3 linked regions of the Canis lupus familiaris genome follow. The protein of the gene in region 1 purifies or fractionates together with the protein of each later gene. This does not show direct contact. Links are inferred from orthologs where the notes say so. Each region holds a gene or a part of one and is shown in the gene's direction. Other genes may lie near its edges. The genes, in order: POLR2M, RPAP1 and POLR2G.

Region 1 (9,763 bases):
AGAAAATTAGGCAGAAGCTGCATCACCTTTTACTATGAAGACTGAAAAAAATCACTTTTGCTCTAGTTATAAGCATGCCCAGATTCAAGGACAGGGAAGACCAACCCCATTTTTTTTTTTTTAAGATTTTATTTATTTATTCATGAGAGACACACAGAGAGAGAGGCAGGCAGAGACTTAGGCAGAGAGAGAAGCAGGCTCCATGCAGGGAACCTGATGTGGGACTCGATCCTGGGACCGTGGGATCACGCCCTGAGCCGAAGGCAGATGCTCAACCGCTGAGCCACCCAGGCATCCCCAACCCCATTTCTTGAGAGGAGGAGAGTTAAATTCACATAGTAAGCAGAACATGTGGGATGGGAAATAATTTTGCTGCCATTCTAGTGGACCTGACGCATACCATGGCCAGTTTTGTGGCCTAAAACCAGTGGGAGAAAACAGAGGAGCAGCCTGGAGAAGATTCTGAGGATCTGTGCTACTAATTTTACAATTGATTTGTAATTTTTATCTTCAACTACCTAAGGACTAATGGAAATCTTTCCCAGGTGTTTTTGTTTTGTCCTTTTTTGAGAGAGCACATGAATGGGGCACGGGGGAAGAGAGGGAGAGGAGAGAATTTTAAGTAGGCTCCAGCACCCAGCACAGAGCTCCATGTGGGGCTTGATCTTAGGACCCTGAGATCATGACCTGAGCCAAAATCAAGAATCCAATGCTTAATGGACTGAGCCACCAGGTGCCCGTTTTTGTCCTTTTAAATTGCATTCAAACAACACTCTTTGCAGTGTGGTGGCAATGGAATGGCTAAGTCATCCTGGCAACACTTCACATAATGATGAAACTGTCCTCTCCTTTAATTCTTCATTTTGACGTTTTTTCTTGCTAATAGCCAAATTCATTAGTTTACTGAGGATGATTAATACTCTGAAGATTAGTCCAAGTACCACTGGAAAAGTGATTTATTTAAAGATGTCATCTATTTATTCATGAGAGACACAGACACAGGCAGAGGGAGAAGCAGACTCCATGTAGGGAGCCCGACGTGGGACTCGATCCCGGGACCCTAGGATCACACCCTGGGCCAAAGGCAGCACTAAACCGCTGAGCCACTGGGGCTGCCCAACAATTGGAATTCTTTAGCAGAGATTAGGGATTGTTGGTTTGTGGGCTCCATTTCTTTTCAAGTATTTGGCTCTGGCTGGAGACTGTTAAAACCAATGTCATTCACAGTTTCCTTCTTTGTTAAATTTCTCCATTTTATATCATTTCTCCCCAGACACTGCTGTTAAAATCTGTGTTCTAAACTTACCTTTCATTTGTTTGTTTGATGGTTATAAAAGAATACTTTGCCTCTTTTCGTTCTGAAGTGCAAATAGCCCGCTTTTGTTTTAGGGTGATGTTTTCTCACTTGCCAAACCTCTTGGTTACTGATGAGAACTAGATTGTGCATCGGTGCTGTTAGAAATTCAGATTTGTATTAGGACATCTTGAAGTTCTAAGCTATGTTGTATAAAAGATTCTATCACATACCACTGAGAATTCACAATCACTATGGTTGATACTTACATAAAAAGCTTAAGATTTGTATATACGAAAGAGACATTTCATTAAGAGGAGCATGAGAGGAAGGCTATGAGAAAAATTGAGAGACAGATTCCATCAACTAATACCTGCGATATACATTAGAAGAGACAGAAAAGTACAAACATTAACTCCCTGAGAGAATTCCCGGACTTCACAGTTTTGTTAGGAAAAAGAAATCACCATGCATAAGACAATTGGAGAAGCAGAATATGCTTCAGAGACTGAGGTTTGAGCTCTAAGAGGTATAGTTATGTTCAAGAGCAAGAGCAATTTGGGGCTGGAATAATGTAGAAAGGCTTAGGGGGAAGATGAGGCTTGAATTTAGATTTATAAGGGGCTAGAGGAGGATGGTAGGGGGCAAAATTCTGAGTCTTGAGAGAAAGGCATCCTTGCCTGGAGGACACCAGTGGCCCAGGACCAGGAGGGTTCACTACCGTGGGGTTAATAAAGGCCTCCAGCTGTGGCTCAGGGTTAGGTTGAGGGAGGCTTTGGGGGAGCTTGCCAGCAGACAACTCCCTGACTCCAAGGTCTTACTCAAGTATCTGCTATATAGCTGGCGGAGCAGGTTCTTCTTTTTTTTTTAATTTTTAAAATTATTTATTTATTCATGAGAGACACCAAGAGGCAGAGACACAGGCAGAGGGAGTAGCAAGCTCCATGCTGGGAGCCTGACGTGGGACTCCATCCAGGGTCTCCAGGATCACACCCCAGGCTGCAGGCAGTGCTAAACCGCTGCGCCACCGGGGCTGCCCTGGAGCAGGTTCTTGAGGTCTTTGCAAGCAGGGCTTATGTTGAGAATTTGGATACTTTACTCTGATCAGAATGGACTAGCTTGGGACAATACAGAAATGGCTTCAACTGTATCCCTGGAGTAGTTTCAGATTTTATCTAAGAGCCTCTATCTGATTGGGAGGGAACAGCTCTATTTATTACAGCACTATACACAGGATTGAGAAAATTAAAGATTTTCCATATCAGAGAATGGGGGGAGGTGGTGCTGGAGGTTATAGGGGTGCCCAAACCCCCCAACCGTTACGTGTTGTGACTCTTGCACGCTTTTCCTAGTTTTGCTTTGGGACACAGCTCTGGTAGCTGAGCTGTAAAGACAAAGTCAGAGCCACCTGGGATGCTTCTTACACTGCTCTACTCTTAAGATTCTTAACAACCTGAAAAGAAAAAAAACAAAAACAAAAAAAAACTTTCAACAGTTTTAAACATTTGGAAATAGGCGGAAAAAAAAAGAAGATTTTTTCCAAACGGGTGTGGTAGAAAGAGTAGCTGGGCATTGGAGTGACATCTGGTGCGGCCACTTAACTAGTTTTGTGCCCTGGGAATACCTCATTGATTTTGCGCCTCTGCTTTCCCACGGGCGAATTGGGCAGTTAGGAAGGATCGGTTTCAGGCTGACTTGTCCGGCACCTGCCACCATCACCTCCGGCGGATTCTGGAGGGGCCTGTGTACCTGCGGGGCGGGCCGAGGGTGGGGTCGGGGGGCTGGGGGGGGGGGGGGGGGGACTGGTAGAGGCGTCGGGGATTGTTCCGAGCTGGGAGCTGCACTGAACCAGAGGGCGCAAGCCAGACACATAAATGTCCTGCTCCGAATGCCACTGAGTCCCACTAAGAAACGCTGATAGTCACGAAAAATCCCTCCAACTTAGTTTGAGGACCTCACTAAGCCCTGGCCGCCTGGGCCCCGTCCGGCACACTCCCCCGGCTTCACCAAGGGCGAGTTTCCACTTCCATCCCACTTCTCAGAAGGCACCTGCCGGGGGGGGGGGGGGGGGCTTCTTTTTTCTTTTTTAAAAGATATTTATTCGTGAGAAACAGAGAGGGGCAGAGACACAGGCAGAGGGAGAAGCAGGCTCCCTGCAGGGAGCCCGACGCGGGACTCGAAACGGGGTCCCCAGGGTCACGCCCCCGGTCGAAGGCGGCGCTCACCCGCTGGGCCACCCGGGCTGCCCCTCTTACTGCTGTTTCACCATTACCTGATTAGTGTCTGCCTCCCTCCACCCCTCGGTAAGCTCCACAACGGCAGGAGTCGGGGACACGTGTTGGGGGGTCACAGCGGCGCTACAGGCAACACTTTTCGAATAAACCTGAAGAGCCGAGCCGACGAGCCGCGAAGAGACCCCCGGCGCCAGCGCGCCCCGCCCCCTCGGCTTACGTAACTTCCGCCCCTCCCCGCTCCTCCCAGCGCCCCCTTCCCCTCGCCTGTGTTTGTTTCCGGTGTTTCAATAAAGCTCGATTCGGCTCGAAGAAGCCCCGCTCTTCCGGGAAAATGGCGGCTCCCGCTCGTACCTCGGAGTCCACGCCGGCGGCGGATCCGGCGCCAGCAGCGGGGGCTGCCGAGGGAGCCGAGTGCCCGCCGCCGCGCCAGCCGCAGCCCCCGCAGAATGTCCTCGCTGGCCCGCGGCTTCGAGCCCCAAGTTCCCGAGGACTTGGGGCGGCGGAGTTTGGCGGAGCTGCGGGAGATGTTGAAGCGCCAGGAGAGACTTTTGCGCAACGAGTAAGCTGGGGTCCCGCCGAGTCACCGCCAGGCTTCTCCGGTCGGGGCTCCCTGGGACGCGTTCGTTGCCCTCCCCCGCGTCGGGTTCCCTGCCCTGGAAGGTGACCTTCCCTCCGTCAGACCCGGGGGTGCCGCCGGCCCGCGGACGGCCTCCCGCCGCACAGGCGGCCGCGCGAGGGCCCAACGGCCGGCTGCTGGAGTCTCAGCTGTTCCCTGAGTCCTCCGCGGTGCTAATGACCTTGCTACCCCGACGGCTCCCTGAAGGGAGGGGCCGTGGCCTAAATCCCGTGGCACCTCCGCCTCCCTTGCCGCCCGGACCGGGCCCAGGACACCGGGTCAGTTCCGTCTCGGTCCCGTTCCTACGGGAGCTGTAGGAAGGAGAGGGAGAGTCTGGAGTGCTGCATTAGGCAGGAAAAGTTTGTCCCCTCCAGCTGGCCGACTTCCCTTTAGCAGGTGAACAACATAATGAGAGTGATTTTTTTATTTTATTTTTTTTAAGGACGCTTCATTTAGCAGATCGGTGCAGGATGGTTTTGGAGGAATCCGAGGCAGGCGACAGCTGGAGGTTATTTTCAGAGAAGTTCCCAGCAAGGGGGACTGTAGAAGAGTAGTTGTCGGATTGGGAAAACTCCGACCAGGCGTGGAATAATCGGGGTAGGTAGTTGAAAGGGATGGCTGAAGTTCCCAGCCTGTAGGGAGGACCACTGGTAAGAACAGGAAAATTGGGGAAGAGCTCCGAGGTTGAGTTTACTCGGGGGGTGCTGAGTTGGACAGGGAGTTAGTTAGATGTACTTAGAAGATAGAGTAGGGGGACCCCTGGGTGGCGCCGCGGCTCAGCGCCTGCCTTCGGCCCAGGGCGTGACCCCGGAGACCCGGGATCGGGATCGAGCCCCACGTCGGGCTCCCTGCGTGGAGCCTGCTTCTCCCTCTGCCTGTGTCTCTGCCTCTCTCTCTCTCTCCCTCCTCTCTCTCTCTCTCCTCTCTCTGTGTCTCTCGTGAATAAATAAAATCCTGGGGAGGTGGGGGAAAGCTAGAGTAGTGGTCATGAGGATCCGGAGAGAGAAGGCTGAGGACATGTAGGAATCTCAGCTGGAGAGGGATTCGGTGTTGTAATTGTGGGAAGGAATGTAATGTGAGAGAATGGAGAGCCAGAGGTGTAATCTATCTTCCCTCCGTTTCTAATAGAGATTAAAAAAAAAAAAAAAAAAAGAGAGAGAGAGAGAAACTGAAAAGGAATTTCTGTCAGTCAGCAAAAGGGACAAATGACCATTTGGGAGCTTTCGAGTAGGTTCAAGTACTTTGTGAGAATGGTTTTTTAAATCTATAGCAGCGAGTTAACCTTTTGGTCTCAGGACCCCATTTATACTGTTAAGACTTAAGGAGCGTCCCAAGGAGCTCTTGTTTTACAAGACACATCTACTGGTGTTTTACAAAACATCTACTTACAAAACATCTACTGGTGTTTATTGGTGTGTTAGGAATTACAGGTGAGAAGGGCACTTGGGTGGCATCATCGGTTAAGCGTTGGATTCTTGGTTTTGGCTCAGGTCGGGATCTCGGTGGGGAGATCAAGCCTGGCGTCGGCTCCAGGAGTCTGCTTGGGATTTTCTCTCCCTCTGCCTTTTCCCATTTGTGGTCTTGCGCTCACTCTCTTCCCAAAAATAAATAAATTAGAAAAAAAAGTAATTACAGGTGAGAGATCTTTAAAACACAAGAATACACAGTGATTAGCCATCAGAGCAGTATCACGTGGCCTCTGGAAAACTCCCATTATACCCATATGAGAAAAGGAGCATGGAAATGGCAAATAATGGTTTAGTATTATTATGAAAATAATTTTGACCATGCAGACCCATCCACGTCCCCTCCTTAGGAAGGCCTTGGACATCACACTTTAAAAACTGCGAGTTTTGGGGTGTATTATAGGATATTATGTGCTTAAAATACTTTTGCTGAAATTCTAATTAGACAGATGAGGAATACTTATTTCTGCATCATGTATTTTTAGAGTATTTAGATAATGCGTTTTACTTTATTCCTGTTCTGATGCAGTAGGAAGTCAGATTTTTGGCTTAAAGATAGATTTTTTTTTCCCTTTGAGGATAATGCTTTTGTCTTTGTATCTCAAGTTTAAAAACATGATTCTAACAAATACATGTGTGTTTTTTTCCCCATTTAACAGAAAATTCATTTGCAAATTGCCCGACAAAGGTAAAAAGATCTTAGACTCTGTTGCCAAACTGAAAGCTGCCATTGCAGAATGTGAAGAAGTTAGAAGAAAAAGTGAACTGTTTCATCCTGTTAGTTTAGACTGTGAGCTAAAGCAAAAAGCAATTGCAGTTGTTGATGTGGACACAGATAAGGCCCAGAATTCTGACCAGGTACTTGATACTTCATCACTAGTTTGTGGCTCTTCCTCTGTAAGTAACATCAAGTCATCTCAAACAACCTCACAGCAACAGGGACTTGTACATCCTTTTGGTGAAAGCTATGAAGAAGCTCCAGAAGTGGAGTACACAGTGAATAGGTGCCCAGCCTCCAGCAGCAGAGCCCGTGCACCTTCCTCTTCCGAAGCTAATGTGCGTCTCCCTCAACATCGGGTTTCACGTCAAGCAGAAGATAATTCTAGCAGCTCTTACAACCTGTTTATTGATAAGTTACAAAGGATCACAATTGTGGACCCGGGTGAAGGGCACTCAGAAGAGAGCAGGAGTGCTGAAAACTTGGGAAGGCTCCGTAGTGGGGCACAGAAGAAGCCTCATTACATGGAAGTGCTAGAAATTCGAGCCAAAAACCCAGTGCCCCCAGCACATAAATTTAAAACTAATGTGTAAGTACTATCAGAAACAGGCTGGTCACAGAAATGTACTATTTGTTAAACCAAAAAAAAAAAAAAAAAAAAAGGAAGGAATGCTTTCAGTTCAGTGGACTTTGTGTGGGACCTCCTTATAGTTAGGAAAGAGCATATTGTGGAAACAGCCTGGCCGGAGTGGAGGATTCATGCTGAAAAATACTTTAGGTTTTTAGCCAAATTGGATAGGTTTCACATAGCAGGTGAAGTATTAAATTTCAGGATGCTTAGCCAACATTTGATATTAAACCCAGAGTTGAGAATTTATTGTGACTATTTTCCACAACAATTGTTTGTTATGCAGTTCCCCCTTTGATTAGACTGTAAGCTAAGGGGAAAAAAGCTGATGGACTTGTCATCAAAACATATTAGTATGCTGACTATATGTAAGCAGGTGGTGCTGAGGTGACACAGAAGTAAAGGTCCTGCTCCTCAGGAGTTCAGGGTCTAGATGAAAACCCAAGGCTTCCACACTTGGAAGAACTTTGAACTAGACCATAACAACTTGAGGGGGAAGGTAGCTGAGAAGGGGTTAAAGACACAAAAACATTTGAGGCAGGAGGAGCAAACCTTGCTTCTGAGTTCCTCGCCATAGTTTTGTTACTGAGATCTGCAGAAAAAGAGAAGCTCTTTGAAGAAAAAAGGATGTTACTTCCTTGTGTGCAGATGTAACATTCACCTCAGGGAGTAGCCACTGGTATCCTACCTGTCTGACTTTAGCAGGGTATAACATCATATACAAAGTGGAATCACTACTGCCTGCCTTTGAAAAACTGAAAACCTCTAGTTAAAAATACCTAAAACTTTCAAAGAACTATAGAACTATTACAAAAAAACTTTCAAGTTCAACCCTGCCATTTTTTTTAACTTGAAAACATTTTATTTACTTCTGTATAAAAACCAGAATTATAGAACATTAATTTTTAGTGAGGAACAAAAAGTAATCTTTGTACTCTTTCTAAGTAATCTCTCATCTTGTGTTCAGGGAGGTACATTTCCTTACCTCCAGGAAGCTGGAAAACCTAAAGCATCATGTAGTCAGTGGATACACTGATTGTGGTAGTGTGGTCATTTAGCTGGAAGTCAGAGTGGGGAGAGCCAGATGCTTCTTGTCAGAGCAGATCGGGAAAGGCTGGGCCTGGATGAGTCTGTTAGGTGTTTGTCGAGGGATTCCAAGAATGAGCAGTTTTTGGCTTTTTTTCTGCTCTTCCTTTGGCCTCCTCCATGCCATGCTGGCTCCATGTACCGCCTGGATGCTGGTGGCTGCCCCTCATCTCCCTCTAGCTTCGGTCTTTATAGAACTTCAGATTTGCGTGGCCAGTTACCAATGAAACCTGGCCCTGTGGGTGTTTTGTGGCACTTTAGATTTATATATAGCATAGAACTTTTACTTCTTCCCATGCTTTCTCCCATATTCCCTAAATTCATAGTGTCAGCACTTTGTTTTTTTCCCTAAGGTGTCTTGCTTTTGCCTCATCTCTGTATCTGCCAGCTGTAAAGACCTACATAATATATTTCGTTGACCTTTATCTCTGATCATTCTTATTTTTGTCCTCCTGTCAAAACGAAGGCTCTTATCCCTCTCATGGACTATAACTGGCATGTTTTGGATTCTAGTCTTAACTCCAGCAGTCCATCCTCTCCACTGCTGTCAGAGTGAAATTTGTACAATGCAAATCTGAACCTATTATATAGAACAGAACTCTTCGCTGAGGACTGGGCCTGGTGTACTTACCAGCCTTACCTCGCTGCCTTTCCTGGCCACCCCACCCCCTGAACACCCTTTGTGCAGCACCATGTTGGCCCTCACTCCCTGTTGGGATGCCTTTTCCCCTCATTGACACAGTGAGCATTTATTATTCCAAGACTCCTCAAAATTCACTTTCTTAAAGCTTTTCTGACAGCCCCCTCCCCCGTCTCCCAATAAAACTGGTCGTTTACTTTATGTTGCACTGTGCCAACATGTATAGTATGTATACCACCTCTATGTATGGTATTATCCAGGTGGTATTGTGTTGCACAGAAACTGTCCGTAAGTTTTTTTCCCTTTACTGGACAGCAAACCCCTTCGCAAATGTTTTTTGAATGAAAAGATGGAAAGACGGCTTCAGTTCAAGTGTAAGGTTGGAGGAGTGAAGGAAAATGCAAAGAACTTACCAGTCTACCTATTTGTTGAAACAGTGGATTGTCACATTATTCTCCAAAAAGGTGCTAATTTACATACTGGTTTTGAAGTATGTTTAGAAACAGGATTTTTACCTACATATATAAATACTGGTAAACTCCTTACTATTATCTTTTTAGGAGAATTCACTGCTAAGGTTGAAGGCCACTTCTGTGTGGGAATGTTGTAAATGTGTGTCTGTAAAAAGAAAGTAGTCCGCTGATACAAATTTCCCCTCCTTCAGATTACCTTCGCAACATAATGATGAATCTGCATCTAGCCATTGGCAGAGAAGAGGGTCTCCCCTTTCCTCAGAAGAGAGGCGGCTCAGGGATAAGCAGCATCTCGATGACATCACAGCAGCTCGCCTTCTACCACTTCACCATATGCCCACCCAGCTGCTCTCCATAGAAGAATCTTTGGCACTTCAGAAACAGCAGAAACAGAGTTATGAGGTATTTAGAGCTCTAAATGTTTCTTGTCTGTGTGTTGGATGCTGCTAAGTCAGAATTTACTCTGGAAAGTTCAGAAAGGATAGGACTCGATAGAAGGGAGTAGGTGCTTGAGAAATGGTCAGCTAATGCCAGTAGCTTTCAGATGTGAGCCTCTAGTTCTCTGAGAGTCTTGAAGCTGCTAGAACCACAGGATGCAGCTGGAGATG
Region 2 (9,785 bases), about 14 Mb from region 1:
CAATTAAATAGTCTTGATGGAATAGAGAACATTAGGATAAGGTTGAGGAAATCTGAATAAAATATGGACTTTCGTTAGTAATGAGGTGTCAATATTGGTTCATTAATTCTTTTTTTAAAAAGACTTATTTATTTATTTGAGAGAGAGGGAGTGCATGTAGGAGCAGTGGGAGGGGCAGAAGAAATCGGAGAGAATCTCAGATTCCCCTTGAACTAGGAGCCTGAGGTGGAGCTTGATCCAAAATCAAGAGTCAGATGCTTAACCAAGTGAGCCACTCAAGTGTCCTGGTTCAATAATTCTAATAAATGTACTGTATTAATGTTAGATATTAAAAACTGGGACTCTTGGCTGGCTCAGTAGGTTGAGCATGTGATTCTTGATCTCCATCTCAGGGTCCTGAGCTCAAGCATCAGGCATAGATCTTACTTAAAAAATGGGTGAAGGGTACCTGGGTGGATCAGTCAGTTAAGTGTCTGCCTTCCACTCAGGTCATGATCTCAGGGTCCTGGGATCAAGTCCTGCATCCGGCTCTCTGCTCAGCGGAGAGTCTACTTCTCCCTCTTACTCTCCCCTGTTGCTCTCCCTCAATCCTTCTCTCAAATAAATAAATAAAATATTTTAAAAAAATGGGATGGGGGTGTCTGGCTGACTCAGTCAGAAGAGTATTGACTCTTGATCTCAGGGTTATGGGTTCAAGCCCTACTTTGGATGTAGAGATTACTGAAATAAACTTTAAAAAAATGGAGGGTGGGCAGCCCGGGTGGCTCAGCGGTTTAGTGCCACCTTCAGCCCAGGGTGCGATCATGGAGACCCGGGATGGAGTCCCACGTCAGGCTCCCTGCATGGAGCCTACTTCTCCCTCTGCTTGTGTCTCTGCCTCTCTCTCTCCTCTCTGTGTGTGTCTTTCATGAATAAATAAATAAAATAAAATAAAATAAAACATAAAAATAAAAAATAAAATAAAAAAATGGAGGGTGCCTGGCTGATTCAGTCAGTGGAGTGTTGACTCTTGATTTTGGGGTTGTGGGTTCAAGCCCCATTTTGGATGTAGAGAAAGATTACTTAAAAGTAAAATCTTCGGGGTTCCTAGGTGGCTTGGTCAGTTGAGCCTCTTACTCCTGATTTTTGCTCAAGTCATGATCTCAGGATTATGGGATTAAGCCCTATGTCAGGCTCCGCTGTGGGACTGCAGCCTGCTTAGTATTCTTTTCTCCTTCTTCTTCTACCACTCCTTTCCCCCCACCCTCTCTCAAAATAAATAGATAAAAATAAAATCTTTTTAAGAAGTGAGGAAACTATGTTAGGGTAAATGGAAACTCTTTATAATTTTTCTGTAAATTTAAAACTATTCTAGGGGCTCCTGGCTGGCTTAGTCAGTGGAGCATGTGACTCTTGATCTTGAGGTCATGAATTTGAGCTTCACATTGGGGGTTGGAGATTACATTAACAAATAAATACATAAAGGGGTACCTGGGTAGTTCAGTTGGTTAAGCCTCTGCCTTAGACTCAGGTCATGATCACAGAGTTCTTAAACCCACATGGGGCTCCCAGCAAAGAAGGGATTCTGCTTCTATCTCTCCCTTGCCTCTCCCCCTGGTTCATGCTCTCTCTCTCTCAAATAAATGAATAAAATCTTTTTTTTTTTTTTAATTTTTATTTATTTATGATAGTTACAGAGAGAGAGAGAGAGAGGCAGAGACACAGGCAGAGGGAGAAGCAGGCTCCATGCCCCGGGAGCCCGATGTGGGATTCGATCCCCAGACTCCAGGATCGCGCCCTGGGCCAAAGGCAGGCGCCAAACCGCTGCGCCACCCAGGGATCCCCAAATAAATAAAATCTTAAAAAAATAGATAAATGAAATCTTAAAAGTATTCTAAAATAAAGTTTATTTTTCAAAAAAATATCTTCATATTGAATAATTTAAAAAAAATCCTTATTATCATATAAAACCCAGTTTGTGTTTAGTTTTCCCCAATAGTCTCAAAAAACATCTTTTTACATTAGGCTTGTTTGAATCAGGATCCAAACAAGGATAATATATATATTTATTTATTTTTTGCATCTTTTTTTTAAAGCTCACATATTTAACTGATAGTCTCTTATGTATTTATAAATCTATAAAAGGTCCCCCTTCTATCCTGGACAGGAAATTTAGAGAAGAAACTTGGTTATTTGTAGAATTTTCCACAACTGGGGTTTGGTTCATTGTATTCTTGTGTTATCATTTAACATGTTCTTCTATCACCCATATTTCCTGTAGATTGGTAGTTAGATCTAAATCCTTCACTAGATTCAAGTTCAATTTTTTTGGCCTGAAGGCTTCTTGGGAGATGTTTTGTACTCCCAAATGCATCAAATCAGAAGCAAAATATGTCCAGTGGTCTCACTTTTAGCTGACCCCTTGATGTTCATAAGTTGGCAACCTGATCCATCATATGTAAGAGCCTCATCGACCTTTCACCTAATAGTTTTATCAATCATTGATGATCATTGCCTGGAGCGATGATTTTATTAGGGGTTGCAAACAATGATTTTCTACTATCATTCTTCCAGCATTTTTAGCTCTAGTTCCCTTTCCTCACTCCCCATAATTTCTGACCAGGTCCAGTACTATTTTGGATCCTAAGGATGGCTAAAGCCTAGTAACTGAAATTTACTGCTGCAGTTGTGACCAAGAGAACTAAAGAAAGATTCTATAGAATTCCTGGGAGCTTTTAGAAATGCATATTTTTGGATCCTGTCCAAGACTTACTGAATCCTAAAGTCTTGAGGGTGAGGCCCAGTAATTTGTTTTAACAGGCCCTCAAAGAAACAAACAAAAAAACAAACAAACAAAAAAACAAGCCCTCAAGGTGATTCTGATGCCTGCTAAAATTCAAGAACCGATGGACTAACACTGGCTGCCCTAAGATGGCCTTCAGTCAAGCAATGATTTATTAAAGTCCTAAATTCATAGCAACATCCTGGTTGCTGAGCACTACTGATGCATAAAAGAAGGCCTGGTGCCCCCAAGGAACTCACAGTCTATTCAAGAGAACAGCACAGAGGCTAGTGAAAATGTGACCAGTGATAGCTGATAATTGGCAGTGCATTCCCAACAAGCCACACAAGTGGTAAAGTGGAAGAGTCCAAGGAAAGCTCAGTGAATAGGCCTGGCTGACAGAGGGTTTGTGTGTGTGTGTGTGTGTGTGTGTGTGTGTGTGTGTGTGTGTAATATTTTATTTATTCATGAGAGACACTGAGAGAGAGGCAAAGACAGGCAGAGGGAGAAGCAGAGTTCTTGCAGGGAGTCTGATGCGGGACTCAATTCCTAGACCTCAAGATCACCACTTGAGCCAAAGGCAAATGCTCAACCACTGAGCCACCCAGGTGCCCCCTGGCAAAGGTTTTAGAGTACACTCCAGCTAGGACTTAAAGGAAAAGAAAGACTCTGTGGGTAGGAGGAGGGAGAGAAAAAAGGAAGGATTTCCAAGAAAAGACATTTTCATGAGCAAAGGCAATCAGGCTGTTTCCTTCTCTCTTCTCACTAATACCATTCCTACAGCGTTTCTCGCCTTTCCTTTCACATGCTTATCTTCTTGCTCACCCACAAATCCAGGGGGGCGGTCATCTTGGGTACTGCCCATGGGTTTAGGATGTGATCATCCGGACTGGTGAGCGCAGAGGGGCGTCTGAAGTACAGTTTGCCTCTGTCACGGGTGTCGTACGTGCAGAAGAGCCTGTGCCTGCTGTACATCCGAAGGATGAGTGTTTTAAGTGTCAGCACAGAGCTTACGTGGTGGGGTAGAGCAGGAACTAGCCGTATTTCTCCGGCGCTCAGGGTCCCCCGCGCAGGGGCACCCGGCTGGCTCAGTCGGAAGAGCTTTTGCGACTCTCCAGCTCCGGGTGGAGCTGGGGCCCTACGTAGGATATAGACTTTACTTAAATAAAAAAAAACTTGGAAAAAAAAAAAAAGGGGTGTGTGCATGTGTGCGTCCTCGCGCTAAGCGAGCAAACCCCAGAGGGGTGGAGCCAGGCCGGGGAGAGGCGGGGCTGGGTTGCGGGGCGGAAGCCCCGACCTGGTGACGGCGGAAGTCCGGCCCTTGCGGGGCAAGATGGCGGAGTCCAGGCGGCCCTAGGGCAGGTACGGGGCTACGCTGGAGGGAAGGACTTCAGGGTTCCCCGGCGCAGGGCTCTGCTATAGGGTATCCAGTTCCTTTGTCGGAGCTTCCCAGAGTGTCTTTGCTTTGCACTGGAGTGGCCGCGGCCTCTTCGGTGTGGAGATCCCGACTACGGCCTTCCATCCGCGGGGCTGCTTGAGCTGAAACTCGGTGATTTCTCTGCTGATTCGGGTGGTCCAGAAATGTATGCGACCGCAGAGTCCTAGGGGCAGTTGTGGGGCTCGACAGAGTGTAAGTTTTGTACTTCTTTGGTGAAATTTATTCCCAAGTGTTTTACTCTTTTTGATGCGATTGTAAGTGATACTGTTTTCTTAATTTTTTCTGATTGTTCTTTTTGTTGGTGTATAAAAATACAGATGATTTTTATATGTTGATCTTTCTTAGCGCAAGGTTGTTTTGTTTTGCTTTTTAATAATTTGAACACCTTTAGGCCAGGCATATTCTCTCAAATTTGATACAGAATCATTAGTCCCTGGTATGACATTTATCTGCCTGACTCCTTTTTTTTTTTTTAAAGATTTTATTTATTTATTCATGAGAGACACACAGAGAGAGAGAGAGAGAGAGAGAGAGAGAGGCAGAGATGCAGGCAGAGGGAGAAGCAGGCTCCATGCAGGGAGCCTGACGTGGGACTCGATCCTGGGTCTCCAGGAACATGCCCTGGGCTGAAGGCAGGTATTAAACCGCTGAGCCACCTGGGCTGCCCTATCTGCCTGACTCCTGATGCCCTTTTTCTTAGGTTCCCTACAGTTGTTCCTGAGAATTTTTATCATCCACAGATTGTAAAGAACCTTAAGTTGGCAGTAAATATTGTTAGGCTGATGACATCCAGGAGGGGTAAATAGGGAATAGCAGTAAGGTATGAATGAGAAGGAATGAGTTGATGTGAACCTAAGAAGTATCTTCTCTGATGCACAATAAAGAATCAAGGTTCAATTGCAGAGGGCCCATCAACTTTATTGCTTATAGGGGTGAATGAGAGGGAATCCCCACACCCAAGCAGTGTTGGAAAGAATTGCACAAGAGAAGTAGCTGGCGTGTCAAGATGCTGTCGAGACCAAAGCCAGGCGAGTCAGAGGTGGATTTGCTGCGCTTCCAGAGTCAGTTTCTTGCAGCTGGTGCAGCTCCAGCAGTACAACTGGTGAAGAAAGGAAATAGGAGAGGTGGTGACACTAACCTGGACCAGCCTCTGCTGCAAGATCATCGGGATGTGGTGACACTGGACAGTGAGTGGCTGAGGAGGAGAGAGGGTATGGCCTCGGGATCCTCTCCCTCTTCCTGATGTGGCTGGATTTTCCCCCTTCATTATTTCAGATACTGTGTAGCCTCTGTTGCTGCAGCCCCATTTTGCATGTGAAGAGACAGTGGGTTCACAGAGTTTAAATATCTTGTCCAGAGTGACACAGCTTGGGCCGGGGCTTCATAGCTGCCTTTCTTTCTTTGGTTTCCTCCTACCCTCACATCTGTTTTTTTTCCTTTTTCAGATCTCCCAGATTCACCCCCAGCTTTGGTTCCTGCTCCTTCAAAGAGAGCTAGACCCAGCCCTGGCTGTCTCCTACCAGAACATGAGGACCCTGAAGAGAGGCTGAACAGGCATGATCAGCACATCACTGCTGTCCTGACAAAAATTATTGTGCGTCTCACCCTGGTTGGGTGGGATGAGGCATCCTAGGCAGCAAGGATTTTGGTTGGGGGTGGTGAGCTGTATGAGTAGAGGGTGATTCAGAAAGGTGGGACTTAGGGGTGCCTGGGTGGTTCAGTCAGTTAAGCATCTACTTTCAGCTCAGGTCATGATCCCAGAGTCCTGGGGTAGAACCCTGCATTGTGCTCCCTGCTCCTTGAGGAGCCTGCTTCTCCCTCTCCCTATGCCACTTTCCCTGCTTGTGTTCTGTCAAATAAGTAAATAAAAATCTTAAAAAAAAAAAAAAAAAAAAAAAAGGTGGAACTTTATGCTCCTGCAGTCCATTTGGGGCTGTTTTAGAATCACTGTACTCAAAAAAGGAAGATGGGTCCATGACTCCCTAGAGATTCTAGTCATACAGAATTGGGGCCAGTAGGATAGTGTCCAGCCTGGGGAAATCTTAATATCTTCACTCCTTTGTGCTTTGTTGCTGCAGGAACGAGATACAAGTTCAGTGACAGTGAATCTGCCTGTGCCCAGTGGTGTTGCTTTCCCTCCTGTGTTCCATCGCTCACAGGAGAGACAAGTAGGCAAAGTGCTTAGATGGTACCTGGGAGACATTAAGTGAGCCTCATAGTGCATCTTCCTCAGGCAGATAATCTGAATAATAAGCAATTTTCTTGTTAAGGTAGCACCATGCTAAACCTGGGTGGCTCAGGGGTTGAGCATCTACCTTTGGCTCAGGGCGTGATCCTGGGGTCCCAGGATTGAGTCCCACATCAGGCTCCCCAAGGGGAGCTGCTTTTCTCTCTGCCTATGTCTCTGCCCACCTGACCCTCCCATCTCATGAATAAATAAAACCCTAAAAAAAAAATCCTCATAACAACCATGTAAGATAGATATCATCATCCCCATTTTTCAGGTGAGGAAACTGAGACTCTGAAAAGTTAAGTAAATTGTCCAACACCACACATCTAATAGAAGAGCCAGAAATCCAACCCAAATTTGTCAGATTTCCAGACCAGTCCTCCTATAGAGCCCTGCTTTTCTGAGGACTAGGGTTGTGATCCTTGGAGATTAAGCAAGTCCTTTTGTTCCAGTAGCCTTAGAGAAAAGAGGTTAAGAAATGACCAGGGTAGTAGTAGTCACCTGGGTTTCCTTTTTGTCTCATAGGGGAGGTCAGCAATATCTGGCAAGAGAAGCATCTTTGCCCAAGAAATTGCAGCAAAGAGAGCATCCGAAGCCAAGGTTCCACCAGTTAGAGAAGTTGTATCTTCCCTGGATCCACCAGAGGGTAAGCTGGGGTGGAAGAGGCTTGGGCAGGGCAGCCCCAGTGGCTTAGCGGCTTAACGCTGCCTTCAGCCCAGGGCCTGATCCTGGAGACCCAGGATTGAGTCCCATGTCCGGCTCCCTGCATGGAGCCTGCTTCTCCCTCTGCCTGTGTCTCTGCCTCTCCTTCTGTGTCTCTCCTAAATAAATAAAATTTTAAAAAGTGAAAAAAAAGAAGAGGCTTGGGCTTGGCCTTTTTGTAATACATAATCGTAGAGTCACTTTGTGGTATATGTCTTCCCTACATCAAATATGAAGGCATATTTATTTTTTTTTAAATTTTTTTTTTTTAATTTTTATTTATTTATGATAGTCACAGAGAGAGAGAGAGACAGAGACACAGGCAGAGGGAGAAGCAGGCTCCATGCACCGGGAGCCCGATGTGGGATTCGATCCCGGGTCCCCAGGATCACGCCCTGGGCCAAAGGCAGGCGCCAAACCGCTGCGCCACCCAGGGATCCCTTGAAGGCATATTTAGATGGCATTTGAGCCATCTAAAGAGGAATCTGTCCTTTATCCCCACTTACAGGATTGAGTTCGGGTGGTTTGGGTTTATATCTGGGTCTTAAGTACAGGGAGAATGCCGGCTGTTATTCTACCCTAGGAGAAAAGAAAGAGAGGTGTCTGGCAGAGACTGTAAAATAAAGATGAAAGCCAAGATTCCTTTAACAATGCAAAATATTAGCAAAAGAGCTAGGGACAGGCTTCTGGAGGCAGATGGCTGCCTGAACATCCAAGGGAAGAGTCAGAAAGTAGGATATTTCTTAGGGAAACATCCCTCAGGAAGGGGAAAAAAATGAGTGGAGAGGTCACCACCCAATCCAACCTGTGTTTATGTTATGGAGGGTAGGGGGGAGGTGTCTCCATGCTGTGCCTAGGAAATCTTTGGGGCCTCTGTCTGTCTCCAGAGCTAATAGGATTAGGGAAGAGGGCTAGAAGGCCCAGTTGGGATGAGGCGATGAAACTGATCATATACTTCTTCCAGGTGCTGTGTCCTATGAGGCACTCGCACCCAGGGAGCAGGGCTGCCAGCTTCCATGGGGCAGCCCTGGCTTCCAGGGACCCCATCTGGTCACAGGGAAGGGGCTCAGGAGCCAGGATGCTGAGCAGGAAGCCCAGACCATCCATGAAGAGAACATAGCAAAACTGCAAGCCATGGCTCCTGAGGAGATCCTTCAGGAACAGCAGCGGTTGCTGGCTCAGCTCGGTACGGCATACCTGGCTTTCCTCCTGAGACTGGGCTGGGAAGGGACTGCTACTTGCTGATGAAAGTTTACTGTGCGTGCCAGGCATTTTACTATTTGCATGCATTATTACATTCTGTCTTCAAACATTTCCTCTAAGGTAGGTAGTACTAACTTCATTTACTTATTTAAAAAAAAAAAAAAAAAAAAGAGTCTCAGAACTTGAAAAAACTCTTTCCCAGGTCATATGGCTGGTAAGGAACACGGATGAGATGTAAACCCAGGTTTATCAGGTCTAACGGGCCCTGCTCTCAACCACTGTATCATGTATGCTGTGCTAGTGTAGTGTATGCTAGATTATAGCTGGTGCTCTCTGGCACAGTTATGAAATGTCTTGGTATAGCATGATATAGCAGAGGTATAGCATGCTAGAGCGTGCTATACCTCCTTCCTAGTTTCTGTTCACCAGAACAGTAGCACCAAGTCAATCTTTTCCAGACTGTGTATCTAGCATCTTCATAGAGCATACGTAGATTAGGTTTCAGTAAATATTTGTAAATAAATCATCTAGAAGTGAGATAAATTGTTCCCCTAAATCCCTTCTCTTGGCCCCAGTCAGCATTTATTCATTTATTCCATAGCCCTTCTTTTGGACCTCTGACCTGGAGCCAAGCACAAGGATGTGCAGGAACCTGGGCGGGCCAGGGGACTGTGAAGAATGGAGAGGAGGGTGGGTGGGCACATCCAAGTGACAGGTGTGGGTCATTAAATCCCCAGGAGCACCTAGGGTGCTCAGGCCAGGGGTGGGAAATGGCTTGTCCTGATCTTGGCACCAATAGGCAGAATTCAGCAGGTTTCAGGTCTACAGGAGGCTGGGGAGGATCTGCCACCACCCACTTTCCCTTCCATCCTCTCCTCTAGATCCCAGCTTGGTTGCCTTCTTGAGATCTCGCAGCCATACCCATGAGCAAGCAGGAGAGAAGGCCACAGAGGAGCAGAGGCCAGGAGGACACTCTGTTGAGGTCACCGGAGAGGAGCTCATTGTGCCAATTTCTGCAAAGGAGCCCAGACAGGAAGATGATCTGGATCCAGAAGCCCCAGGTTTGAAGGAAGGGGAGCATCTTTTGGAGAATAAAAGTAGAAGAAAGTATCTCTTCTCCTAGGCCTGGCAGATGGGAAAGAATCTTCTCTGTCCTTGGACATCTAACATTAATCTCCATTATTGTCTGGAAGTCAGTCTTCATTTGCTGATGTGTATGCTCTTCCTATATATGTTTCCTGTTTTCTTGTCCTATTACTGCTCCTTCTCCCCCTTCCATGATAAGCGACAGCAGGGTGTGATGGCTGACCCCTCCCCCAGCAGATCATGTCCATCTTGCCTCTGCAGTAGCTGTGCCTGCTCTGGCTCTGTCCATCCTACAGTTTTCTGCCTCTGCTGTCCATGTTGGGGGGAAGATGGCAGGGCCAGGGCCATGGGAGAAGAGTCTGACA
Region 3 (9,568 bases), on another chromosome or scaffold:
ATGGTTCCAGACTCCTGGCTCGGTAATGGTGGTGTCCGAGAACAAGCAGCTGCTCGAATGGTCTCATACTGTCCTTAGCCTGATCCCTGTAGACAGTTTACAACGAAGAGATAAGAATGCGCTTCTCTGTGTCTGGAGCTGTCTGGACGGTGCTGATGGGAGGGAAGGATGGGTGCAAGACTCTAACATTTCCCAGGACAGGAGAATAAAGAGCGTGGTTTCTGCTTTCTCTTTTCTTTCTTTCTTTCTTTCTTTCTTTCTTTCTTTCTTTCTTTCTTCCTTCCTTCCTTCCTTCCTTCCTTCCTTCCTTCCTTTCTTTCTTTTCTTTTCTTTTCTTTTCTTTTCTTCCTTTCTTTCTTTTCTTTCTCTTTTTAAAGTAAGCTCCATGCCCAACGTGAGATCAAGTCATATGCTCAGGATGCTTGAGTGGCTCAGTGGTTGAGCGTCTGCCTTCTGCTCAGGTCATGATCCTGGAGTCCTAGGATCAAGCCCCACATAAGGTTCCCTGCTCAGTGGGGAGTCTGCTTCTCTGACCCTTACCCTGCTTCCAGAAGCAGAGAGGAAGCTCTCTTCCCTCTCGCTTTCTTTCTCTCAAATAAATAATCTTAGAAAGAAAATAAATAAATAAACACCAGAAGAAATTTCATACTTCTAGTAGTAACTGTCCCCCAAGGAAAAAGCTTGTAAAGCTTTGCTTCTATGTGTTTGAGTATTAGTCGAAGTTAGAAAAACATCTACCATTTATTTAGCATTTGTTAAATGCTTAACAGTGTGCTAAAGATATAATCTAATTCTGTAATAGCTTTTCCTCTCTCCACTAGACAGAATGACAGCTTCAGCTTCATTAAGTAACTTGGCCAAGGTCACACAGGTAATAAAAGGCAGAGCTGAGATTGAATTTGAGTCTGCCTTCAAAACTCTAGCTCTAACTATTCTGTAGAATCTATCTTCCTAGAGTATCTGCAAGGGGGTTCTTAGGGTTGTTGTAGAACCAATGGCCAGAGGATTTAGACTTGGATTCGGTGCAGGATTATCCTAGCTGTTGGAAGAACTGGTTGCACAGTAGGTGGAGCCCAGAACCAGGAAGGGGGCAGTTGGGATGGATGATCCTTGCTCAGAGATTGCCCTCCAGCAGGACCTGCTGCTTCTGTTTCTCTTTAGGAAACAAGTGACAGATATCACAAGGGCTCCTCTAAAAAGAGATAGCAAAAGATCACTCAATCCTCCAGTAGACTTTTTAAAACTCTGAGCTTTTTATTTTATTTTATTTTATTTATTTTATTTATTCATTCATGAGAGACACACAGAGAGAGAGGCAGAGACACAGGCAGAGGGAGAAGCAGGCTCCATGCAAGGAGCCCGATGTGGGACTTGACACCAGGACTCCAGGATCATGCCCTAGGCTGAACGCAGGCGCTAAACCACTGAGCCACCCAGGCTGCCCAGTAGTCTTTCTTTGTATGCCTAATCTCAATACAGTTGATTGTTAAGTCATTGCTGTTTTCTCTTTCTATCCTATCTTGTCTCTCTCTGACCTTGAAGCTTTGGAAGCAAAGAGATCAAGGCTTGGAGAAAATTTATCATGGCCACCCCATGCCTGGGGAGCTCAGAGACAGAAAGGGTTCAGCCACTCTTGGCTGACAAAATCCAAAGGCAGAGAAACAAGTGGTGGTGAAACAAGAAAGGAATTTATTTCAGGGAGACCAACACTGGGGAAATTAATTAGCATCTCAAAGACTGTCTCCAAAGTGCTGAAAATACCCCTAGGTTTATACAAGGAAAATGCTGGGCAAAGGTGGGTGCGTATGGGCAGGTAGGTGGAGGTTAAATGGATCATTGTCTTGCAGGCAATTGTGGGTGGGGTTTTGCTGGCTCAGGACTGTCCTTTCTGCTTGAGGGGTAGTTTTGGTTTCCCTCTAGAGATGGTTTGCCCTCAGGGTCTCTGCAGGAGCCCAGAGACTAGCTGGAATGAAGAACTCAACAAAGTTTGAGGTCAAAATGGAGGCAGCCAAAGCCCTCTTGTACCCTGGGAAGCCATTAGGTTCTAAGATGGGGAGTGACATGATTCAACTTGAATTTTGAATACATTACTCTTGGCAAATAAAGATACAAAAAGATGTTCAATATTATTAGTCATTAGGGAAGTGAAAGTTAAAACTACAATGAGATACTACTACACAGTAGATAGAATAGGTAAATAAACCCTGCTAACAATACCAAGTGCTGGGGGATCCCTGGGTGGCGCAGCGGTTTGGCGCCTGCCTTTGGCCCAGGGCGCGATCCTGGAGACCCGGGATCGAATCCCACATCGGTCTCCCGGTGCATGGAGCCTGCTTCTCCCTCTGCCTGTGTCTCTGCCTCCCTCTCTCTCTCTCTCTCTCTCGAATAAATAAATAAAATATTAAAAAAAAAGTACCGAGTGCTGGTGAGGCTACCGGAGTAACCGGAAGTCTTATACCTGCATATGCAATTATATTTTACCATACCACAGAGGCACAATAGGTGTAAAGAGCATTGATAATAGTAAACTGTGGTAAAATAATTAGGAAGAGATGAAGTTAAGATTTTATTTTACTTTTTTAAGAAGTCTCTCTATGTGGGGCTCAAACTCCCAACCCCAAGATCAAGAGTCATATGCTGTACCAACTGAGCCAGCAATGCACCCCAGGAGGTGATGGCTCTTGTAGCTGGTTCTAGCACACCACTGTCCTTAAGATTGCCTTTAAGGGGAGGATGGCTGGGAAAGAAGAGAGGAAAAGTCAGGACTGCTGAGGCCCATTCATCTGCTTCCTTGCCTGATCTTTCTTTTTTTAAGATTTTATTTATTTATTCATGAAAGACACAGAGAGAGAGAGGGGCAGAGAGAGAGAAGCAGGCTCCACGCAGGAAGCCCGATGTGGGACTCCATCCTGGGACTCCAGGAACTCGCCCTGGGCGCCCCCAGCAGGGGCCAAACCGCTGAGCCACCCAGGGATCTCCTTGCCTGATCCTTCAAAAGGGATCCCCATGGAGTTTTAGTGGCAGACTGGTGGGATCAACTATTCCAGGAAATGGACAGTGTCCATACGAACTGGTATGTGACAGTTCTGAGGAAGCAGACGTGAAGTGTCTGTTCTTGCTGTAGGGTGGGTCAGGATCTTTTATTTACAACATAAAAAAAAAAAAAAAACCACCATAAAAACCTTACTCAGGCAACTGGGAGTTTGCTCAAAGCCTTAAGGATTGTCCGGCTCTTAAAAAAAAAAAGAAAAAAGGATTGTCCGGCTCTAGAACCAGCTGCCCTGGCTGAGCCTTACTCATGGGTCTGTCTCATGGTTTCTGCCTCTTTCTGCATGGCCCTTTTATCAGTCAGTCTCAACAGGGAATAGATTGCATTATCACTCCGGTTAATTGAGGGGAGTTTAGCAAAGCGACTGTCTACAAAAAAGTGGGCAGAGTTGAGGGAACAAACCAATCAATTCTCTAAGCCCCCCATGCGTGTGTGTCAGCGGGTTGGGGGGAAACGGGAAAGAGGAGTGCAGTGACTTGGTTTCTCACACCGGAGGGAGGACTGACTCCTGGGCTCTGATTTTGGCTGCTTCATCTCCTAACTACCTGCAGCAAGGAGTGGGGTGCTCCATTTTATTGAACAAATGACTGCATGAAAATCTGGAATGTCCAAATACGCAAGGGTCTTGGAGGTCAGACACTGCACATTTGAATCGTGACCCTCAAGTGACCTCAACTCTCTGAGCCTGGTCCCTCATTTGTAAAGCTTGCCTAGTGGTGTTGCTATGTACATGAAATGAGATAAAGACAGCTCCTTACGATGCTTACTATGTGAAGGCAGCCTTCAAATATTTGCCACACGAATGCGTTCTGCTAAAGCACTGTATTCACGTTGTCTTTTATTAGCTAATTAATTCCGTTTAACAGTATATCGCGCATCCCTCCTAGGCCAGGAAACTGTTCATTTAGAAGAGCCAGCATTTGCGCCGCAGAGGACCTGGGCCGGAAGGGCGGGGCCTCACCGATTTCCCGCCCACGACAGCGATGACCAATTGGGTCCGCGAAGGGAGCGGAGTCCCGCCCACTTGGCGGGGACAGGCCCGGAAGCAGGGTTCCGGGGGCGGTGCGTGTTTCCGGTTGCGTGAGAACCGCGGCTACCACCGAGGCAGTTTGGGTTTGGCTGCTGTCCGGTCCCGGCTGGGAGGATGTTCTATCACGTACGCGGAGCACGGGGTGGCCGCGAGGGCAGGGTTAAGAGGAGGAGCGAAGCGGGGCTCCGGGACGAGGAGATGCTGTTCCTCGTCCTTGCTTGGTCTCCATGCCGCTTTCCCCGCAGATCTCCCTGGAGCACGAGATCCTGCTGCACCCGCGCTATTTCGGCCCCAACCTGCTCAACACGGTCAAGCAGAAGCTCTTCACCGAGGTGGAGGGGACCTGCACCGGCAAGTGAGTCCCGAGTGCTTCGCGCCGCCTGATCTGCAGCCTCTACCCAACTCCTACTCATCCTGCAAGCACCTGCCACCTGCCCCCTGCCCCGGGGAACCCTCTCACCCTCTCAGGCACCCGAGGCAGTCACTTGCTTCCGGCCTGGGTTCCCGAGGTGCCCTCTGGATCGCGAGACTTACTTCAGCAGAGACTGGTCATTCGTTTACTCCGCAGACTTTTTTTTTTTTTTTTTAAGATTTTATTTATTTATTCATGATAGAGAGAGAGGCAGAGACAGAGACACAGGCAGAGGGAGAAGCAGGCTCCATGCAGGGAGCCTGATGTAAGACTCGATCCCGGGATTCCGAGATCACACCCTGAGCCGAAGGCAGGCGCTAAACCGCTGAGCCACCCAGGGATCTCTGGGAATCTGTGTTTTAAGAAGTTCCTCTTAGGTGATTCTGAGGCATCCTCAAGATTGAAGTCTCTTGGCTTAAGGACTGCAGTCTCCTTGGACATTTATTGTGAAACATGAGAGCAGTGTTTGGCATTATAGATACTGATCGGGGATCCCTGGGTGGCGCAGCAGTTTGGCGCCTGCCTTTGGCCCAGGGCGCGGTCCTGGAGACCCGGGATCGAATCCCACGTCGGGCTCCCGGTGCATGGAGCCTGCTTCTCCCTCTGCCTGTGTCTCTGCCTCTCTCTCTCTCTCTCTGTGTGTGTGACTATCATAAATAAATAAAAATTAAAAAAAAAGTTATAGATACTGATCTGTATTCTTCTCCCAACATGAAGTTCTGTGGGCAGGGGTGCCATCTATTTCCCTTTGTGCCGTCCCCTGACCCCCATCATCACTGATTTGTTGTAGATGATTTTATTTTTTTTTATTTTTTATTTTTTTGTTTTTTTTTTGTTGTAGATGATTTTAGAGGCTCTTGCACACACGATGCCTTTCTTTTTTTCATCCTCCTTACAGGTATGGCTTTGTAATTGCTGTCACCACCATTGACAATATTGGTGCTGGTGTGATCCAGCCAGGCCGAGGGTTTGTCCTTTATCCAGTTAAGTACAAGGCCATTGTTTTCCGGCCCTTTAAAGGGGAGGTCGTGGATGCTGTTGTCACTCAAGTCAACAAGGTGAGTCCATACATAGTGGAGGCAGTTGGGTGGCTGCTCAGAAGATGGGGGATGGGTCCCAACTGCTCTTGCTAACTCTGTGTCCTTGGGTAAGTCACTTTTGCTTCAGTTTCTACACCTGTCAAATGGTGCAGAAACCTCCCTTGGGGTCCTGTAAGTCAGTATGAGTTGTCAGCAATAGTAGTCTCCATTCATTGAATACTTATTATGGGTTGGGTAAGGTCCAAAACCTAACGGTGACTAAGGTCATGCTTTTATCCATTTTTATAGAAGCTTACGCCTGGAGAAGTTAGAAGTTGTCTAATGGCCAAGGTCATGTGATCAACAGGTGGTCAGATTGTGGACCGACAAGTGCCAGGCCTTGGCTCTTTAGTGCACTGTATTTGCGTAACTTGAAATGAAATCTCAGCAGAAGAGACATGAAAGCAAATGATACAATTCAGAGTGGATTCAAAATATGAAGAATATTATTAGGAATTAGATAAAGTTGGGAAGCTTAGGTGAATTTGAGGATAAAAGAAAAAGCAAAGTCGAGGTGCCTGCCTGGGTGGCTCAGTCGGTTAAGCAGCCGCCTTCGGCTCAGGTCATGATCCTGGGATGGAGCCCCGCAGCCAGCTCCCTGCTCAGCAGGAATCTACTTCTCCCTTTCACTGTCTATACACGTTTGCTCTCTCTCTCTCTCAAATAAATAAAAATTTAAAAAGAAAAACAAAGTCCCCCATTGTCCTCTTAGGTTGGACTTTTCACAGAAATTGGACCAATGTCCTGCTTCATTTCTCGACATGTAAGTCTGGGCGTGCTGGGGGTGCTAAGGAGAGAAGCCAGTCATGACTCTCTCTGGAAGCACTCCTGTAAAGCTCTGTCTTGCTTTCCTTTCAGTCCATCCCATCAGAGATGGAGTTTGACCCCAACTCCAACCCACCATGTTATAAGACAATGGATGAGGTGAGTGGGGAAGAAGTCCATGAGAAGGACGAAGAATGAGCCCTCCAAGAAATTTTGGCTTGTAGGTATCTGAGTATCCTGTTTACTCTTCCTCAGGACATTGTGATTCAGCAGGATGATGAGATCCGCTTGAAGATTGTGGGGACCCGTGTGGACAAGAATGACATTGTGAGTCTCTTGCCTACCTTCTTACCTGTACCAGGCAGAGCTGGCAGCTGTTGATTTTCTTACCATGCAGGGTTCCTGGGGGTTTTGTTTTCTTCTGCCAGGAAGAGGGGATGGGTGAGCAGAAGGCCTGGGGCTGGGCTAGAAGTTAGTTCTATGCTTGCTTAGGCTCTGTTTCCTTTCTGCCTTCCCTCCTGCAGTTTGCTATTGGCTCTCTGATGGACGATTACTTGGGTGAGTGCCTGATCGTGTGTCCAGGGTTGTTGCCTAGAAAGGGGTGTGTGGAGGCAGGGGGTGGATGTGGGACTTAATGCTCGAGTCACAGATGAAAGAAACTCTTATGACTGTCTGCTTGGAAGATCGGGACCTGTGCCTCATGAGATGGGAAGTGCATGGTGATGGCTGCCCCGAGCCTGAGCCTAACTGGTGTGCTTTTCCTGTCCTTACAGGGCTTGTGAGCTGAGCACCGGGGCCTCCTGCTCTGTTTGGTCCTCATCTAGGAGCTGTGACGGTCATGCTCCGCATATCGTCCAGAAGCCTAGTCTGGTTGCTGTGGGGAGGCAGAGAAGGTTCCTTGTCCACAGAAAATATCTCGTTCTTCTTGATGCTTAGCCACTCCCCAGGTTTTTGACTGTACATTCTAACCATAAAAGGTCCTTGTTCTCATGGAGGTTTCATCTCCTTTCTTTGGTAAGAACAACTCTTTCTTTGAAAAGGCTGGAGGCCAGTTGCTTGCTAGCCTCCCTTTTGGTGGCCTGCTGCCTCAAGTAGCCTCAGCTACCCAGGGGATCTGACTATCCCTTCTGCAGAGAGCTACCACTGACTTCAGTGAAGGGAAGGCCCTAATGTTAGGTCTTTGGCTTCTAGCAAATGGCATTGTCATTAGAACCACTCTGAGTCCTGATCTAGTCTCAGAATATTCGCCCTGCCCTCGCCTTTACTAGTAGCCAAAGGTAGAGCTGGGCATGAGGGAAGACAAGATAGTGAGGAGGGAGAGGGAAATAAGAGGATAGTAATGACCCAGACTATGGCTTCCCAATGCAGCCCTTCCTAGGAGGGATCTGCAAACATTTTTTTTTTTTTAAGATTTTATTTATTTGAGAGAGAAAGAGACAATATAGCAGAAGAAAAGGCAGAGAGAGAGGGAGAAGCAGACGCCCCATGGAGCAGGGAGCCTGATGTGGGGCTTGATCCCAGGACCCCAAGATTGTGATCTGAGCCGAGATCATGACCTGAGTCAAAGGCAGATGCTTACCCAGCTGAGCCACCCAGGTGCCCCAACAGAAGTCTTTATATATTAATCAGTCACTAAGCTGAATTGAAAATGTGAGCGGGCCCAAACTGTCATTAGGGTGACATAAACCAAAATCTATGAAATGACTGAAAGACTAAATAAACACACTACCCTCCCTCACAGTGTGCTCACACTCTGCTTTTGTAATACAATTTGTCTGTCTTGGGATGTCCTCTCCCAGCCTGTCTGCTTACTGCCTGTTACTCTAGCAAGTCTCAGTCAATTCTTTTTAAAATTTTTTTCAGCATTTTTGTTTCCTTGGAAAGTAGAGCTGTGTCATAGAAAGCGTGGTCTTTGAATTGGTGCAGAACTGGGTTCCAGTCCTAGCTGGGGGCCTTATGTTTTCTCATTAACCCTCTTTGGATGGTTGCTGCTAGTGTGAGATCACATGTACAAGTGGCTTGTAGAGAGCCTGGCCCATGATAGACCCTCAACTGTTGATTATAATAACCATGATATAATGCATATAAAGCAGTGATTGGGGATCCCTGGGTGGCTCAGCGGTTTCACGCCTGCCTTTGGCCCAGGGCAGGATCCTGGAGTCCCGGGATCAAGTACCGCATCGGGCTCCCGGCATGGAGCCTGCTTCTCTCTGTGCCTGTGTCTCTGTACCCCCCTCTGTCTATCATAAATAAAATAAATAAATATTTAATAAATAAATTTAAAAAACTGATTATCGGGGCATGTGGTTGGCTCAGTGGTTGAGAATCTGCCTTTGGCTCAGGTGGTGATCCTGGGGTTCTGGCGAGTTCCCTATCAAGGCTCCCTGTGGGGAGCCTACTTCTCCCAAATGTCTCTGCCTTTCTCTGTGTATCTCTCATGAATAAATAAATAAAATCTTAAAAAAAAAAAAAAAGAAGCAGTGATTATCAACTGGTGACAACTGTGGATGGTACTGCCTTCTAGTGGGTAAAGGCCAGGGATGCAGCTAACGTCCTACAGTATATAGGACAGCATCCACCCTCCCCCCAACAAAGAATTATCTGGTCCCAAATGTCAATCATGCTAAGGTCTAGAGACCCTGATATGAAGCATCCAGAATATTGGCAGGAACATGGTAAGAAAATGGCACTTGAATGTAGTTTTCTTCCTGCCTTCACCATCCCTGCACAGACTGATGCAGGCTTTTCCATTTATACCTCTACAGTGTATCACATAGCATGTGCTTTAATTACTGTGTCCTGTTTGCTTTTCCTAAATTATTTATCTCTTTTTTTCTTTTTCTTTTTTTTAAGATTTTATTCATGAGAGGCGCGGAGAGAGAGAGGCAGAGACACAGGCAGAGGGAGAAGCAGGCTCCACGAAGGGAGCCCGATGTGGGACTCGATTCGGTGGCTCCATGATCGTGCCCTGGGCTGAAGGCAGCGCCAAACCACTGAGCCACCAGGGCTGCCCTCTCTCTCTTTTTTTAAAACTATTTATTTATTTATCTTAGCACGAGTGGGAGGGGGGAGGGAGAGAAAGTCTCAGCAGACACGTCACTGAGCGCAGAGCCCGACTCTGGGCCCAATCTCATGACCCTGAGATGACCTGAGCCGACACCAAGAGTGGGATGCTTAACGGACTCTGCCACCCAGGGGTGCCCAGGTGGCTCAGCGGGTGAGCGTCTGCCTTC

What was found.
Region 2: the proteins of POLR2M (region 1) and RPAP1 purify together in Homo sapiens (affinity purification with mass spectrometry; 3 studies listed by BioGRID and IntAct, counting the BioPlex papers as one, with this or other methods). This does not show direct contact. The link is inferred for Canis lupus familiaris from reciprocal best matches to the Homo sapiens genes POLR2M and RPAP1.
Region 3: the proteins of POLR2M (region 1) and POLR2G purify together in Homo sapiens (affinity purification with mass spectrometry; 4 studies listed by BioGRID and IntAct, counting the BioPlex papers as one, with this or other methods). This does not show direct contact. The link is inferred for Canis lupus familiaris from reciprocal best matches to the Homo sapiens genes POLR2M and POLR2G.

Annotation. Positions count from the first base shown.
Region 1 is NC_049251.1:23,179,981-23,189,743, forward strand, and holds the start of POLR2M (protein GRINL1A), read left to right. Parts: upstream 1-3,840; 5' UTR 3,841-3,974; coding exon 3,975-4,087; intron 4,088-6,269; coding exon 6,270-6,917; intron 6,918-9,346; coding exon 9,347-9,557; intron 9,558-9,763.
Region 2 is NC_049251.1:8,860,032-8,869,816, reverse strand, and holds the start of RPAP1 (RNA polymerase II-associated protein 1), read left to right. Parts: upstream 1-4,038; 5' UTR 4,039-4,123; exon of another isoform or gene 4,124-4,391; intron 4,392-5,129; 5' UTR 5,130-5,205; coding exon 5,206-5,386; intron 5,387-5,644; coding exon 5,645-5,793; intron 5,794-6,277; coding exon 6,278-6,367; intron 6,368-6,954; coding exon 6,955-7,075; intron 7,076-8,095; coding exon 8,096-8,317; intron 8,318-9,215; coding exon 9,216-9,395; intron 9,396-9,785. UniProt on the Homo sapiens protein: Forms an interface between the RNA polymerase II enzyme and chaperone/scaffolding protein, suggesting that it is required to connect RNA polymerase II to regulators of protein complex formation.
Region 3 is NC_049239.1:54,433,794-54,443,361, reverse strand, and holds POLR2G (DNA-directed RNA polymerase II subunit RPB7), read left to right. Parts: upstream 1-3,991; 5' UTR 3,992-4,193; coding exon 4,194-4,205; intron 4,206-4,324; coding exon 4,325-4,434; intron 4,435-5,389; coding exon 5,390-5,549; intron 5,550-6,282; coding exon 6,283-6,333; intron 6,334-6,428; coding exon 6,429-6,494; intron 6,495-6,590; coding exon 6,591-6,662; intron 6,663-6,859; coding exon 6,860-6,893; intron 6,894-7,108; coding exon 7,109-7,122; 3' UTR 7,123-7,329; downstream 7,330-9,568. UniProt on the Homo sapiens protein: Core component of RNA polymerase II (Pol II), a DNA-dependent RNA polymerase which synthesizes mRNA precursors and many functional non-coding RNAs using the four ribonucleoside triphosphates as substrates.